2 linked regions of the Arabidopsis thaliana genome follow. The protein of the gene in region 2 interacts with the protein of the main gene of each other region in a pairwise test. Each region holds a gene or a part of one and is shown on either strand. Other genes may lie near its edges.

Evidence for each region.
Region 1: the proteins of NFC5 (region 2) and AT2G42940 interact in a two-hybrid assay, tested with the Arabidopsis thaliana proteins (one study listed by BioGRID).

Annotation. Positions count from the first base shown.
Region 1 is NC_003071.7:17,861,726-17,865,313, reverse strand, and holds AT2G42940 (Putative AT-hook DNA-binding family protein), read left to right. Parts: upstream 1-1,857; 5' UTR 1,858-2,043; coding exon 2,044-2,817; 3' UTR 2,818-3,060; downstream 3,061-3,588. Other genes in the region: AT2G42950 (Magnesium transporter CorA-like family protein), read right to left, coding at 186-277, 375-563, 653-1,016, 1,122-1,255. UniProt on the Arabidopsis thaliana protein: Transcription factor that specifically binds AT-rich DNA sequences related to the nuclear matrix attachment regions (MARs).
Region 2 is NC_003075.7:14,558,418-14,564,488, forward strand, and holds NFC5 (nucleosome/chromatin assembly factor group C5), read right to left. Parts: upstream 4,185-6,071; 5' UTR 4,106-4,184; coding exon 3,852-4,105; intron 3,360-3,851; coding exon 3,299-3,359; intron 3,190-3,298; coding exon 3,130-3,189; intron 3,032-3,129; coding exon 2,969-3,031; intron 2,852-2,968; coding exon 2,786-2,851; intron 2,669-2,785; coding exon 2,594-2,668; intron 2,473-2,593; coding exon 2,397-2,472; intron 2,325-2,396; coding exon 2,129-2,324; intron 2,004-2,128; coding exon 1,922-2,003; intron 1,832-1,921; coding exon 1,758-1,831; intron 1,670-1,757; coding exon 1,558-1,669; intron 1,451-1,557; coding exon 1,376-1,450; intron 1,294-1,375; coding exon 1,226-1,293; coding exon of another isoform or gene 1,135-1,225; coding exon 1,035-1,134; intron 940-1,034; coding exon 838-939; 3' UTR 510-837; downstream 1-509. Other genes in the region: AT4G29735 (uncharacterized protein), read right to left, coding at 4,545-4,592, 4,686-4,764, 4,956-5,021, 5,643-5,743, 5,858-5,860. UniProt on the Arabidopsis thaliana protein: Core histone-binding subunit that may target chromatin assembly factors, chromatin remodeling factors and histone deacetylases to their histone substrates in a manner that is regulated by nucleosomal DNA.

The sequences.
Region 1 (3,588 bases), on a different chromosome or scaffold from region 2:
AAGAATAAGATAAGACAAATAGGTTCTATCAAAGCAATACAAAGGTTTAACAATTTCATTGGCTACACCGTATAGACCATGTAAATGTGTATCCACTGCTAAAGACTTTCATAATGAATACTAAACTTCCCCAATATATACAACTTTTTTCACAACTTAATCTAGATTCAAGGGAAGGGAAATACCTATCATCCCAGCGTGCAAGGCGGCATGCAAGATGTGCTATTAGTTCATGAACGGTTCTCGGAATGCAGGCTCCACCAGCAATAAGCATTTCCTGGTAAGACAGAAGGAACCCCAGAAGACTGAAAACCAGTTTTGACTAATTGATCAACGAGTAAAGGAAAACAATGATTCAAATAAGAAGAACAAACCTGGACTTCAGTAATACCTAAGACACTAATGTTCAAGGCAAAGCCTTTAACGTGCAATGCAGTCACCAGAAAATTCTGTGCTTGCCAAGACCTTAAGACAATAGGTATGTCATCTTCTTGGATGAAAGGATCACCCGCTGATTGTCCCAACAGCTCAAACAGCAACCCACCAGCAACTCTGACAGGCACCTATCCACCAACATATTAACAAATTTCAGCTATAGAATCATAGCACAGCTCACATTACAAAGAAGCAACATAACTCAGATTTTTGTTACCTCATAGAAAATATGTTTCATTCGTTCACTAATCAGTTTGCTTTCGTCCCGCAGAGCAAGACTGACCGCGGGATGTAACCAATGCGCATTACGTAACCACGAGGCAATACCATGATGGGTAGCATCAAGATGACACCACCAAGTTGGACCAGCAAGTGGTCGTTCCCAGTAAGGAGCAGCAAGCTCAGCAACAGTGGCTTCATCCTCATCTAAGTCAATCTTTCGCAAATCCCAATTATTATCAACTTGAACAGTCTGAACAAGCTCAGAGATCCTATCCCATCCAATTCCTCGCCAATAACTCCTAGAATGTTCTTCGTCTTCACCAGTACCAAATTGATCTGTTTCACATTCCTGTTTCTTTCTATCACAACAACAACAACACTGTTTAAAAAAACACTCTACAAGAAAAAGAAAAAAAGAGACTAAGCACTAATATGTATCAACAAGTTAGTAACAATCATCATACATTCTGAGAGACGAATCTCCATGGACACTTGTGTTATTCTTACGACGACCTTGACAAAACTCGAAAGCACAGATAAGTCCATTGGTCCAGAGATTATGGTAACCTGGATTCCCGTTCTTGTGATTCGCATTCATGCTTCACTTTAAATCACAGATTTTCGATTCATATCAGTCAAATCTCGTTTTCTGAGTAAAAAAAACAATCTCGAAATTTTAGGCTGCAATTTCACGTAAGATCATCAGGAAGCACGGAATTCGAAAGAAAACTAAGCCAAAGGAGTCAAACGCAACAACCTTCCCCAGAACTTCCCTGAATTTTCTGCACCGATTCGAAGAAAGAAAACAACAATTTGACTGAGAGAGAGAGATGAATGTGGCACAGGTCGAGGACGACAAGTCAAGGCTAAGAACCAACCACACGTGTACATTTACATATTTTGGGCCTTATTGGACCTTCTCTGTAGGACCAATTTAAAAGCCCAATAAGAGTCGAGTATGGAAGGCGATAAAATACAGAGCAGTGGACGACTCTCATTTTTTGTTGTTTCTCAACTCTCGATCAGTATTTGATTTTAGTTTTGGTCCCAAAAAGGGTATAAATTTGGTTGTAAATAGCTACAAGATGTTTAAGCATTATTATGAATCTCTCTGTTAAAGAAGACAATTGTCATGAATCAAATACTTAATCATCTGTTGAGAAGTAGGCTGCCAGAAACTTTTCTTTTTTTTCTTTTTTTGCAAAATAAATTTGTTAACTATTAATCACAATTTTTGGTGACAACTTAACCATCTCCTACTCCTCACAATCATTCTTTTGGTGTCTCTACCATTTAATAATTCACCAAAATCTCCTTACTTAAACTCACAAACTCCTCACAAATTTTCTGAATCTTTCAGTTGAACATATAACAACATTCATAACAATGGCTGGAGGTACAGCTCTAACTCCAACCTCTGTAGGATCCAAGTCTGTTCCAATGAGGAACCATGAAGCAACAGAGAGAGGCAACACCAACAACAACCTGAGAGCATTACCCAAAGCCGTCCAACCGGTTTCATCAATCGAAGGAGAGATGGCTAAGAGGCCACGTGGCAGACCCGCTGGCTCCAAGAACAAACCCAAACCACCAATCATTGTGACTCACGACAGTCCAAATTCCCTCAGAGCTAACGCCGTTGAGATCAGCTCAGGTTGTGACATCTGTGAGACTTTATCGGATTTTGCAAGAAGGAAACAGAGAGGTCTCTGCATTCTCAGTGCCAATGGTTGTGTCACCAATGTGACATTAAGGCAACCAGCTTCATCAGGAGCAATTGTCACATTACACGGACGTTACGAGATCCTCTCATTGCTTGGATCAATCTTGCCTCCACCAGCACCACTTGGAATAACTGGTCTGACCATTTACTTAGCCGGACCTCAAGGACAGGTTGTTGGTGGAGGAGTGGTTGGTGGGCTAATCGCATCTGGTCCTGTTGTTCTCATGGCTGCATCTTTCATGAATGCTGTTTTTGATCGTCTTCCTATGGATGATGATGAAGCTGCCTCTATGCAGAACCAGCAGTACTACCAGAATGGAAGATCCCGTCCTTTAGATGACATTCATGGACTGCCTCAAAATCTGCTCACTAATGGAAACTCGGCTTCTGATATCTACTCTTGGGGGCCTGCGCAGCGTGTCATGTCGAAACCTTAATACTACTGCTCTAATCTCCACGTTTCATCATATCAAATGCCTTAATCTTATTATCTCATTTACCTTGGAATCAAAGATAAATGTGTCTGTAGGTTGAGAGAGAACCGTAAGTCTGGTTAAGAAACTGAAGCTTATCTCCCTTTGTAGTTTGTACCTGCAACAGTAAAAAGAAAAAACTGAAAAAAGCAAAAGTAAATGATTATGAATTTTAAGCACAATCCTCTAATTTAATACGAAAATATTACAATATTTTTATCCTTGATCCAAAGTGAATGTTGGCCATTAATAGCAGAACATGTGAAGAATCATACAAACTGGTGATTTCTCTTTACCTGTGTGATACCAATTGCAGTTGCACCGTTCCAGCAATTATTTAGGAAACTGAGCTAGCAACCAACTTCTGATTTTACTCCACTCTCATCCCAGTTTCAACATGTTATATAATCTGTAAATCTCTAGAGGATTTTTGAGGGTTTCACTAACAAGATACAAACTCTTGACGTTTCAGATATCTGGGGATTAAGGAAATAAACGCGGTTTCTCATGTTTATGATTGGGTACTTTCATGAGCAATGCCAAAAACATTAGTACGTCTATCACCTTAAACATCATAGCCTATTTCCCTAAATCCCTATTTCATTATCTAACTACCTTGAATTAAAATCAGTACTTCTGTGGGTAGAATAACATGTTTGGTGATGCTGAAGCTAATCGTTATGTACTTATATCTAGCCAGTGAAGACGAAAATATGTGAAAGTTTTCTCCTTGCA
Region 2 (6,071 bases):
AAGAAGGTTTTGTTTGGTTATAGCTGCAATGAATCAATGATGAGAATCCAACAAAACCTAGAGAAGCCCCTATGAGATGGTCTTATATCTATAAATGAGTAGTGTACTTAATGTCAGATAAATCAAAACCCCATGAAAGGCTTAGTACCTAGATGTTTTTAACTAGAGAGAGAGAGAGAGAGAGAGAGAGAGAGAGAGAGAGAGAGAGAGAGAGAGAGAGAATCTACTAGAAGATATTATGCAATAAATTTCCTCAAATGTTGCTACCTAACTCCCTCACCCCACAATCCCAAGAGTATTAAGTTCAATTGTCTGCAAGTTTGTATAGATGTCAGGTCTTAAGATTGCACAAATCCTTTGTAGATCTAATGAGTTGATCCGGTTCAACCCGGTTTACGCAGAACCAATCTTGCTTGAAATGAAACCGAATAGAGGTGAAGAGCGACGATTTTCTATCTGCTTTTGTTGTTGGAAGTAGAACTGAACGGTTCAGGGACACATGAGTCAAATGTCAAGCACTTGAGATTTGGATTTCACTGATTCAATCTGTTGTTTTAGTTTGGTCTTGCTTAACCAAGTTTGGATTCACAAAAAAAAAAGTTGAAAATACAAGCAAGTTAGGTGCCTAGGATTAACCTGAAGAAACAGGATCAAGTACCATACAAGATTCCGGAAGTCCTAAATCTACCAATATGTTGAATTACTGGCCTACATAAACCAAGTAATATTCCGCAAAAATAACACCTAAATCGCATAAGTAAACTGATTTTCCTCGCAAAAACTGACACTAAACCCCAGCAACTTACTAATACTAATAGACATGATGGGATTGCTTCCTCAAGACTTGGAGGTACATGTGAAAACATGTGACTTGAATTTCTCTAGCTCTGTCAGGACTTCATCTTCCGGTCTGTAAATCAAGTCACTCATCCGCCATATCTGCATTAATTTACAAATCAAAAGTTTTCATTTTTACCGAGAAAGTTAATCATAGGTAGGTTCCAGAGTAAATGTAGCAAGACATTTAAAAGTACCTGCAATGTACCACCTCCACCGATACTCTCACAATTATCAGAAACACTGACAATAGTCCAAGGGTTCAATAGGCTCCAGTGGAAGTCGACCACTTTGTCCCTAAGAAGATATACACGAGGAAATTATAGATTCCACTGAAGAGAGTAAAAGGGAAAGGCAAGCAAGTGAATTAGAATTAAGTCTTGAGAACCTGTGACCAGCATGCTGGAAGAAAAGCCCATCAGGAGTTTTGGTTGCACGCTCAGACTTCTTGCCAACCTGGTGCACACATATATGTTAATATGGTGAGCTTGAAAGTAAGAGAATAGTTTTAAATGTGAATGTGAGAAATTGTACTAACCCTATCACAATCCCATATGTTCAAGAGACCATCTTCTGCAGAACTCCCAAAAACAGATGATTTATCAGGAGACCACTGAATTGATAACGAAGCAATGTCATTGGGGATAGGTTTACAGGACAAATAATATGAAAAGAAAAAAACAAAAAAAAAAAACAGAGGTGGTGGCATGTTGTTGAAACCTGAACACAAAGAACAGCAGCTCTGTGGCCTTCAAATTTGTAAACAGGTGAACCAACTCCATTTGAGGTAAGGTTTCGGCGGTCAAACACACGGACAGTGTTATCTGCTGACCTGGAAAAGTGATGTAGAAGCGTAGAGTGAGAGGACGAGTAGCATCTCTGTACTTTTGGACAAGTATTTAAGTTTGTGAAATCAGTACCCAGTCAGGATCAGATTATTGTCATGAGGATTCCAATCGACACAGTGAAGATCAGCATCATGTGCCTTCTCAACCTGCCAGCGCACAAGAAGAAACAGACGGAATCTGAAACAAGACCAAAAAGTTAAACCTCAAATGTCGATCTGGCTAAAAAAAAGAGGTACCTTCATGGCAGGACTAGTGCCAGTTCTTGCGTCCCATAGCATAAGGCAAGAATCGTCACCAACACTGCAGAATTCTTGTGCACTGTAGGACAAAACAAAAAATTACCAATTTTTTTATACCAAAAGCATCAGAAAATTCTGAGTAGGTCTGCATTTGGGTGTAAACTTAAGAGCTTATTAAAAAAGGAGACTGTCCCAAGAAGTTACCTAGATGGACAGAATGCCACGTCTTCAACAGTATCTTTGTGGCCATTATATATGCCTCGAGGGCCAACAGAAGGACCACCAGTTTTATCACTACCTTCACCAGTCTGCTTGAAGCTGGATCCAGGGGATTTGGAATCCGAACCAGCCATTGTGATATGGTCTTGGATATTCCACAAAATAACGGACTTGTCCTTGCCTGCACGGAAGAATCTTTGATGAGAAACTTGCAAACCACAAGATATGACACAAAAATAGAACTGATACAAACCTCCAGAGAGAACAAAAGGTTCGGTTGGGCACATTGCAAGAGCAAATTCAGCATCATCCTGGTGCCCAATTAGTAACTGAAAATAAAAGTTGTTCAAATGATGCAAAAAGAGTAGCTCTTTCGATTGTTAATATGATGCACAAGCAGGTTGTTTAACTCAGTGAGACAACATAACGAAAATTCTCACAAGAGCATACCAAATCTGGACGAGAATCTGGAGCTCCAAGCACAGCATACCGGTCTGGTTGAGTCTCAGTGTTCCAAATGAGAATCTGAAAACCAATATATCATACTTGCATGACTGAAACTGGAACTATTCAAAAACAAGGATACTGAATAACGAAAGCCTTTTTTTTGTCACGCTGATGACCCGAGAAAGCAGAACTTACATCAGGACTGTCGGTGTGAGTAGCTACAATCTTGCTATTTTGAGGGAGTTCCCTAATTCTGTTGACCTGCGATGAATGAAGGGTACACAAAACAAAATCTTTTTCAGCACTCAAGTCCTAAACGAAATGCAGATTCAGTAAATCCATCTAAGAAAAAACAATGAGAATACAGGAATATCACACCTCTCCAGGGTGGATGATGGTCTTGTACTTCTTCACAAATGGAGAGTGTGCCTTTTCATTAAGCTGAAAGCATATAAAGAAACGGTATTTCAATAATTTCATCTCAGCAGAGAGTAACACAAGGACAAAAGCACAAGCTTTGGTAGAGAAAAACTAATTACCTGCCTATTAACAGTTTCGCAATTGGCTATGACCAAAGTATTAGGCACACTGCCATTCGTCTAATGACAGAACCAAGAAAAAACGGTAAACATAAGGAGCAGTAAACAAACTTTGGATATTTTTCATCAAGAAAAAATGTACAAACCACAAGAACAAGAGCAAACTCACTTGTTCCGAGAGATAGAGACGTTGAGTCTTAGAACCTGCTTGCTCAAGCTGTGGCCCCCATCTGCTCAAATCAAACAACAGGATTACAACGAAATCGTACCTCTTTACACAAAAGCTAAACACTTCACTAAATCGTAGCACAGCTAAACATCTGAAACCAAAAAGTAACAAAACAGAACACCTAAACCGAGTTGGTCAAGTGTTATCAACGACATCATTTTCCTACCAAAACAAGTTCCAGAGGTTCAAAAATGGAAACATCAGATAGCTAATGAGCTAAAAGCCTAAAAGAGAAAGAAACACAGAAAAGCATGGAGACTGAGCTAAATTAAAAACCCGAACTAGAACATGTCCTAATCTCACAAATTCCAGAAACCAGCTAAGAAAAACTCTCAATCTATGAGTATTTCACTAGCTGAAACGGAAATGTAACTCAATCGCCTGACCAAAAGCACAAAGCTAGAATTTTTATTTCCCAAAAAAGAACCAACTTTCTCCAAAACCAAAGATCGAAAACCCTAGAAACAGAAAACCTATAAAAAAAAACACAGACCTGCAAGAGAGAGAGGGCCAGACGAGGGTATGATTAACAAACGAATCATAGAGAATGGGAAGAAGAGTCTTCCACTGAGAGTAAGTGTCGTCAACGGTGGCCTTTTGACTCTGCTGTAGCAAAAATGGTAACTGAGACTCGTTGTTGCTCTTAGGTTTCCGTCTTCTCTTATCCGTCAAAATGGCTGTCACCGGAGTCCTAGGTGCTCTTCTCGGCCTGGTGGCTTGAACAGTCGCTGCTGCTTCGCTTTCCATTTCCTTCTTTTCTCTCGTTTTCTCTCTACTCTCCTTTGTTTTTTTTATAATATTATTATTTATGCCACGTGGAGTAAACTTCGTCCCGGCAAATACCCAATAGGCAAATACTTAAATTAGCGAATTAAAATGATTTCTTCACACTAAAGAGTATAATCAGTATCTTCCCATTACAAAATTTGAGTAAAGCTTTCTTCTAAATCTTGGTAGAAAGTTACTAACTGATCAACTTAACAACGCAAACGCTGTTCTAAAGGCGGTGAAAATTGAAACCAAAACTCGGTTTAGCGTTCAAAAGAAGAAGATAATTTAATTGTAACTTGGTGTTTAAAGGCTACTTCTCAAGTCTTAACATTCATAACTCTGATTTTACTTGAACAAAGATAAATCTGTTTTTTTTGTCTTTGAACTAGTTGGGAATAGTATTGAGGAAGAAGGATCAGACATAAACACCACTAGCAAGTAGCAAAAACAACGATCCAAAACCCTGCAAATAACACAGAAACAGATTTTAACCAAACATTAGATTTAAAGAAAACTCTTAAACTTAAGTCAAGAGGGTGAAGAAGAAAATCCATACCAAGAAGACAGATGCAACTGCTGAAGTAGCGAGCTCCTTTCCGACGCTTCGGTTTTTCCTGGATGATGTAGCTTCATAGCTGCAACACAAATGTTATGACAGGGTAAGTTTTGATCACTCCTTGTTGGGCTGAATGAATCTAAACCAGCACAATGAATACCAAAAGAGTCCAATATGACCTTATTACAAAGAAGCTAAAATGAATGGTTCAAGTCTATCTTAAAGTTTTGACTCGAGGCTAACCCACATGCTCTCGTAGCCCAGACGCACATTACTTTAACAAACCGAATCATATCTCCTAAAACTTGCCACCCTTTGAAAGGTAAATGCTCCACGCTTAAATGAAAATCATACAAATCTAACTTTCTTGTATCTTAACTAAATCGATAATCAGTCATTTTGTCATATTCAGTGAAACTATTAGAGTACTGATTCCATTTCCATAGACTATCACCTTATCATTGATAAATTTTGAGTCTTTATATCATGATAGTATATAGAGCTCACACATTTCCAAAAGGTTACTAGATGAGTCCCATGACTTTCTTACTTTTTACCCAGAAACTTTAGTAATAAGAAAGGCACATATTTCAACAGATTAATCTAGCAAAGAGATCATGAAAGTGATGAACATGTAGCTTCAGGAGCTTTAGAAGACCTATCTCTAGAGAATAGCAATTGAGAAAGCATTGTGACCAAACCATATATATAAGCAGTAACAATGTTGGTCAAGCTTCATACACAGTGAACAAACAAGAGGAGAGCCTCACACGATTCATAGTTCAGAACCTAGTCATGACTATCACACACTAATCAAGCTTTATGAAAATCAAGATAAATCATAGGTAGATCGAATCTATCAGGAACTGTTTCACTAATCTGACATCAAGTAATATAAATTGAGAACAAGAAGGGGCAATTTCGAAGATCTAGAGATCAGATCAATTATTAGCTTACATGAAGAAGATAGCGGTAATGACGAGACCAATCGCAAGAGTGAACACCGATAAAGTCGGATACAGCGCCACCGGAATCGGACTCGCAATCGGTTTCGCCGCCTTCTCACCGGGAACGAGCACAAACACACCAAACAAAATCAGAAATCGTAAAAGCAACAAATAGAGAGATCAAATTAGCTGTGACTGAAAGCACTTGGACGGATCTAGATTTACCATTGTTGCTAAGCTCTTCTTCTTCTTCTTCGATCTGAGGAACAATGAAAAAGCTATTTGACTGATCTCGCTCGCTTGATCGCTTCACTAAACAAACACGAGTCGCTTCCGGTTTGTACTTAACCGGCTTGTTATAACACAACCACGGTTATTTTATGGGCCAGTTTTTCTGTTTAAAGGTTCGATTTAATAGGCCCAAATATACTTATTAAGG